Danio rerio: one gene and its partner. The protein of the gene in region 2 purifies or fractionates together with the protein of the main gene of each other region. This does not show direct contact. Links are inferred from orthologs where the notes say so. Each region holds a gene or a part of one and is shown on either strand. Other genes may lie near its edges. The genes, in order: klc1a and kif5aa.

The links.
Region 1: the proteins of kif5aa (region 2) and klc1a purify together in Homo sapiens (co-immunoprecipitation; 7 studies listed by BioGRID and IntAct, counting the BioPlex papers as one, with this or other methods). This does not show direct contact. The link is inferred for Danio rerio from reciprocal best matches to the Homo sapiens genes KIF5A and KLC1.

What each region holds. Positions count from the first base shown.
Region 1 is NC_133188.1:17,848,178-17,852,009, reverse strand, and holds part of klc1a (kinesin light chain 1), read right to left. Parts: intron 2,858-3,832; coding exon 2,756-2,857; intron 1-2,755. UniProt on the Homo sapiens protein: Kinesin is a microtubule-associated force-producing protein that may play a role in organelle transport. The light chain may function in coupling of cargo to the heavy chain or in the modulation of its ATPase activity.
Region 2 is NC_133184.1:232,292-236,123, forward strand, and holds part of kif5aa (kinesin family member 5Aa), read right to left. Parts: exon of another isoform or gene 3,028-3,832; intron 2,718-3,027; coding exon 2,571-2,717; intron 1,856-2,570; coding exon 1,667-1,855; intron 543-1,666; coding exon 425-542; intron 37-424; exon of another isoform or gene 1-36. UniProt on the Homo sapiens protein: Microtubule-dependent motor required for slow axonal transport of neurofilament proteins (NFH, NFM and NFL). Can induce formation of neurite-like membrane protrusions in non-neuronal cells in a ZFYVE27-dependent manner.

The DNA of each region.
Region 1 (3,832 bases), on a different chromosome or scaffold from region 2:
CTTACAGTATGGATTGTAATGCATACCATTGGGGCTGCAGGAATGAGAATCCAGCCTTTAAACTGAAATATACTTTTTAAATGTTGTTTAAACAAACATTAAGCAGTTCACTGAACTGCTTTAACTATGCAAAGATGCACTAATCATGTTCACACTTGCTGCTTATTGGCCACTGTAATCTATTTATGTCATATTAGATATAGATAAAATAGCCTAAGCTATTGAAATCATTTAAAGTATTACAATTATCGGATATATAAAATTTTTTTAAATAAATAAACCAATATAAAACAAACAGGGCGAAGCAGTGGCGCAGTAGGTAGTGCTGTCGTGTAGTACATTTAAAAAAAATGAATGAATGAATGAATAAAACAAACAATAGCACTAACAATTTAGGCATGTGTAATAAAAATAAATTATAAATTATATTATACAGTTTTAAGCCATTTTAAACTTTATTTAACAAAGGCCTACCTGAAAAATAGTTTATATTTTTTAGATTTTAGATATTTTCTAAACAACAGAGGAGTCTTGAAATATTATTTATAAAATATTTAGATATGATGATATAAATCAAATTAGGCAAACAGAGCATATTTTGGGTGAGCAAAAACATCAAAAACTACCTGTTCTTTTCTGTCATGCAGTCCTACACTGCTTTATAAACGAATTGCATTCAAATTCTAATTTTAAATGTAGAGCTTTATAAGAAGGATATTTCATATTTTAAATCGTAATTTTTCAAATAAATCTTGCTTGGGTCGTTCTGAAATATTTAACATTACTTTAGTCAAATGTATGATACTTTTTTTTCTTAAACCAGATGCAGATTTTAAATAGCTGCTGTGACGCGAACACAACAATATAGGCTAGCCTATATTTTATTATTGCTCTACGGTTTCCTTTACTTAAGATGACCGAATAATATGCAACATCCTTAAATTATTCTTTTAAATAAAGGGGAATTACCTATTAAGTGTCACATAGCCTATGAAAATAATGTTTTTAGATCTCTCCGGAGAATTAGGATTAACCTTTTGATGGCATCTACCGAAACGAGAAGGTATTAAAATATGATTTAAACCGAGTTATTACCAGAGAAATTCAGTGGTATTATATTAGCCTATAGATGGTGTACTGGGTCATCATCCCTCCGTTAGTTTTAAGACCACTCGATGCACGATACCAAGAGCAAAGACCATAGAAAACACAAGACATGTCACTCGTATAGTTTTTTATGAGGTAAGTGTAACATTCAATATGGCGAATAGAGCCCTGCCTTCTAGTACAGGAGCCAATCATCGATCGCAATAGACAGACGATTCTCCATGGTAGGGGCTCGAACCAGACGTGAGTTTTTGCAGATTTTGTGCGATTCAAGTTGTTTAGAAATTAAACTTAAAAGTTGTTGTTTAAGTTTATTGGTGATTGTTAATATGAAATTTAATCATAAGCTTGGAATGCAATTTTGGAGAATTTGATGTTTCCCCATTCAAACAGAATGCCAGAGCACACTACACGACTGGCGTTTCAAAGATGGCAGCTGAGTGCAATGACACTGGCAGCGTCCAAAACCGCCTACTACTCAGTAGGTATTGCATTTGAATTTAAACGTACTACTCGGCCGTTAGAAAAGTATGTTCTATAAAGTATGAATGTGAAAAGTATGAATGGAATTCGGACGTTTTACATCCGGCATTTTGTTATGGTCACATGACCTACCAGCGTCAGTTGCATCGCTTCACTTCCATTCATGAATTCTCTCGCAGGGCATTATGGGATACCGCAGCGTGCATGGGATGCGCACTCCAGAATCTCGCCGGAAGCAGTAAGTCATCCGGGTACTTCTCACATACTGATTTTCGAATTCTATGAATTCGGACATACTACTCGACTCACATACTGATTTTAGTGTACCATATAGTATGGAAGTATGCAGTTTCGGACGCAGCCATTGACTTTCTTCTTCCTGCTTAACTGGGGAGGTTGTGTGAAGTTTCAATCAGCTAGCAATCTAGGAATGGGGTTTGCATTTTACGCTGTGAGCTATTGACCCAATAGTGAAATCGCAACATGATTTCGGCCTCACTGTTCAAACTCTCTGAGTCTTGGGCTACTTCAGCCTGATGAAAACCCTGGCTCACACTGGCCCGACAGTGGATATGCGGCTAATGATGTTTAGGCACAAGGATGATCAAATTTAGAAATGAAACCTCTAACATTAAAATGGCAAGAGTTTCAGTTTCAATGTATATCCCCTGTGTACATATACGGAAAAGGCAAATACAAAAGAAAGTAGTGATTTGAAAATTTACTTTGACTTGTATTTCATTGCATACAATATGAACACAAATTAGTTCATGTTTAATATGGTCAAATTCATTTTTATCTGTAAATATACATCTTTTCCTGTCATTCAGACCTGAAACACATTTCAAAAAGAGTTGCGACAGGAGCAGATTGGGGCTAGTAATCATGTAAATTGGTTAAATAATGATGCGATTTGAAACAGGCGATGTCAACAGGGAATTGTAATAAAAGATGTCACTACTTCAATATGTTACCTTTGCCGCCGTTCGTATTACTGCAGCGGCGGTAGTTGGTGTGCCAGCAGCTTTTGTATGTTTTTGATAAGTTTTCCATATCATCGCAACCTTTGTTGATTTGGGGTTGTAAATTAGAATCCATTTTGAAATAAAGACTAAATTCATTACTAAGTCACACTCACGACAGGTATGTTTAACACCTGACCCACCTTCTCTCTGATTTCCAAGGCTCTTTTACACAGAGGCTCTGCTTCCTTGTACTTCCCTCGTTTGCCATAAAGAACAGCCAAATTGTTCAGTGTGGCAGCCACCTGCACATACACAAGAACAAGCATGTTTATTTCTACACATAAATTTACTAAAATGTCTAATAACATAAAACAATCAAAAGATCAAATCATTTATAAAGCCAATCATTTATAAACAATTAGTCACTGATTACAAAATGATTATTTAAATGACTGGAAATCTGATTAAGGTCAACTCTGCGGTCTAACATGCATATACACATACAACATTCACCCATGCTGTGTTATAGAGGTGTTCTGATTAACCTTTGATTTAATTACTTCAGTGCATATAGAATTGAATTGTGGAGAGAGAAACAAAAAATAGATGATATATGTTGTAAAGGTGTGTAAATTGTAAAACGGGCTAATAGCAGACCAAAATAAACATAATATTCAGAAAACTGCAAACGTACCACAATAAATTGTATTTAGTATTTATAAATTGTAAGTTAGTATTATCAGTATTAAGTTGAAATGTATGGTATGTAATATATAAAATATAGTATAAATAGTATATATAATTTATAGAAATTTTGGCAATTACAATAAACAACATCTGCTATAAACATAAATATCCCTATAATGAGCAGATAACTGAATACATTAAACCACATTCAATTGAACTATTGTAATATTAAAAATGCTGCCAAACATTAACATACTATAATGCAAAGAAATTAGTAAACTTGAAACTTCATACAAAAAAATCTGAATTTTTACATTTATTACAATTCTGAAATTTCTTTTCTAAAATGCAGTTAGCTGACCAATTCTAAAAGAGAGTTTATAAATAAGACATTTTATATTTTCAAGTAATAATATCAGCGACAGTAAGGATTGTGACTAGTTGGAAAATAAAATCATTATGATATTTTAAGTATTGCTCCAATTCAACCACCCAGAAAATCATAATGCATAAAATTTGCGGATATTTAGTATAACATTCAGCTGTACAGAACAAGTCAGGTGGAAGATAAAGAATGAAATAGAAGAAAA
Region 2 (3,832 bases):
CACACACATGCATTAATGGAGCCGTGCAGTGCAGAACTGAGCTCAGTCTGAATCTGAAACACGTCCTCTTGACTTCAGCTCAGTTGTTTTTGACACACATACGACACATAAAGATATGACACATTACAAAACAAATGTCATATCACTGTCTCTGTAAAAATGAAATCTAGCAGTGTAAGTATTTGTGTGTATTAACGTATATCCCTCTAAAAGTGCACATTCAATATCAGTATTCCTCATTCATCTGCTAAGAGACTAATGCTGGAGCTGGACTTTGTTGAATCCAGTCCTCTTATTCAGTTCACTCAAACCAAAATCTGTGATAGAAGCAGAAGAGTCTGAAGACCAGAGCATAAGAGTGATGAACTGCAGTGTGTGTGTGTGTGTGTGTGTGTGTGTGTGTGTGTGTGTGTGTGTGTGTCACCAGAGTTCTGCAGTGTGTAGAGTTCTTCACTGAGAGCATCATAGTTGTCCTCCAGCTGTCTCTTCTTCTGCTCCACGTTCTGCATGTATTCTGTGAGAGAACGGATCTTTGCCTCATGCTGCGCACACACACACACGCACGCACGCACACACGCACGCACACACACACACACACACACACACACACACATGAAGACACAAAGTTAACAGGATAGACTACAGTCACATTTATTTGACATTTACTCGATATGGCACACACACACTTACTTATACTGGTATTGGTGATTTATGAGGACTTTCCATAGGGGGGAAATGTAATTTCAAACATTCATTTTCTTTTCGGCTTAGTCCCTTTATTAATCAGGGGTCACCACAGCGGAATGAACCGGCAACTCATTCATTCATTCATTTTCTTTTCGGCTCAGTGCCTTTATTAATCAGGGGTTGCCACTGCAGAATGAACCGTCAACTCATTTATTCATTCATTCATTCATTCATTCATTCATTCATTTTCTTTTCGGCTTAGTCCCTTTATTAATCAAAGGTTGCCACAGCAGAATGAACCACCAACATTTCCAGCATATGTTTTACAGAGCGGATGCCCTTCCAGCTGCAACCAATCACTGGGAAATATCCATACACACTCATCCACACTCATACACTACGGCCAGTGTAGTTGATCAGTTCCCCTATAGCGCATGTGTTTGGACTGTGAGGGAAACTGGAGCACCCGGAGGAAACCCACGCCAACACGGGGAGAACATGCAAACTCCACACAGAAACACCAACTGACCCAGCCGAGACTCAAACCAGAGACCTTCTTGCAGTGAGGTGATCCTGCCACCCACTGCGCCACCGTGATGCCGGTAATGTATTTTTTCACATTAAAAACCAGTGTTCCCCTACCCCTAAACCCAGCCCTCACAGCAAACCTGTGGCAGACTCTGGATGTGAAAAGACCCCATCGATTGGATTATTAAGCCTTTTGAATTAGAGGACACAAGACATGTCCTCATAAACCACCTCAATGTTGTAACAACACTGTCATACCCAGAGCCAGACAGAATCTGTCTACATTTGTGCTATTTCTGTGCAGAATGTGGTAAAAATATGCAGATTGATTTTTGAAATGAAAATAAAACTGGATAAATGTAGATTCACACACATTTACATCAAGTAAATACACTCAATAACAGCCTAAAATCTTCGCATAGTCATGAATTATACACACACACACACACACCTGTGAGATGAGCAGTTGGCATGACGACAGCTCCCGGCTGGTCTCCTCCATCTTGCGATGGCACTCCAGCTGCATGTTCTCCAGCTGCCGGCAGCGCTTCACCATCGACTTCACCTCAGATTTAATCTTGCTGATGTAGAGACGTGCCACGGTGAACTCCTCCTCAATCGCACCGCTGATCTCCACCGGCTACACACACACACAGATTACTGTCACCATAAACACACACACTTCTGCAACTGACGCTACTGTGCATCAGCTCATCAGTGGACTCAGGACGTCACACAGTCAGTTTGCATTGGCTGTATTTGCTTGATTCTGATTGGTCAGTTGCTACATTATACATGTTATTCTCAGATAACCACTGCTGAAACTAATGAGTCATCTTGACCGTCAGTGAATACGTCTACATATATATTTACATGCGTGTCTGTCTCGCTGCTGTTTCTGACTGTCTGTCTGGCGCCACCTAGAGACTGAATAATGTGCAGGTTAGCGTATGCACCATTCAGCCATTTCATGTCTGTCAGCTTCGTCTTTAAAGAATTAATGAACTAGTATGGCTCAGAACAATGCTTTGTGTCTAACGTTTCTGTTTTGTGGTCAGTAGCTGTGTAATAAGCAGGATAAAGTACACGCAGGCGGTTGTTATCACAGAATAACCCCTTCAGTCTTTACAGCAGCTGCTGATAAACCTGTCAGGGTTTATTCTGGGTTATAGTTATTATAACCCTTTTTATTTTATGTAAGTAACTATATCTTAAAATAAATCACTGCATAAAATGACTCAAACCAGGATTTTTGCTCACACTGCCTCTATTAGAGACAGATAGCCTGTTTAGCTCATCGATCAGCTATGAGCAGATGAAAATAAACCTAAAGGGAATGTGCTCTCTGGTCTTACTAGCTTGAGTTCTCCGTTTCCGACGATGCTGCTGAACTCGCTGAGATCCTTCATCAGGCCGTTCAACACGTCAGCGATGCGCTTCCTCTGCTGTGAGCTCACTTCCTGCATCTGCGCTAGCTCCGCCTCCAGCTCCATCAGGTTGGCCTAGAAAGGTAAGAAAGCGGTGAGGACACAACATTCGATGCTTTTCCCCTGAATGACACAGCTTGATGCAGTTCAGTGCAGTGATTTGCTTTTCCACTGCAATGCCAGCACTAGCTACACCAGTAACATCTTACAGGATACTGTGATGCCTCCAACACTTGTAAGACTAGTGTGAAAAATAGCACGTCTTACTTCAACTATCCTATTTTTGAATGATTTATTTACTACACGGCTGTCTGGAATACTTGATTCTGATCAGTTGTGACATTCCAATGTATGGTTATTCTCAGATAACAGCTGCTGAAACTACTGACACAGACTACTCTGGGTATTTTGAATCATCTTGACCGTCAGTGAATGTTTTCATCCATATTCATATGCTTTTTTCGGTCATGTGTAACCCCGCCGGTCCTACTGCACCCATCCCGCTCTGAGCTGGTATCGAACCAGTGACCTTCCCCATGGGCGTCGGTTGCTCTAACAAGGAGGCTGAAGATCGTGGTCTCTAGCATCTGTCGCTAGAGCACCTTTAGAGGTCAGAGGAGTGAGGTTTACCTGCATAGCACTTACTATCTGGCCTCCGCCTCACTTCCATCCGGGTCACGGCACCAATGTAACCCCGCCGGTCCTACACCACCCAACCCGCTCCGAACTGAGATCGAACCAGCAACTCTTTGTATGGGAGTCGGTTGCTCTAACAAGGAGGCTAAAGACCATGGCCAGCACTTACTTGCTGGCCTCTGTTACATTCACCCCCCTAAACATAACTCTCATCCGGGTCACGGCACCAATGTAACTAGTCTTTTGCGCCTCTTCTGCGTTGTGTGAACACTTATCAACTTTGATCTTTTGGTGATTTATTGTCTGTGAAAAACAGAACAAAAATGAGCGCAAAGACATTCAACCAGCCCTCGTGCACTGGCTTCTTCTTCCCACACATCACAATGAATTTTCCTTATGAGGTAACAGAGGCGGCGCTCTACATGTAAAACAGTAAACACGTTAATCCCTTCCTTTTTTATAGTATTTTAATGTGTGCAAGTGGAGCGATCTAATATGACCTGTTACACACGCTCATGCTTTTGAATGTTTGGCGCCATCTAGAGACTGAATCA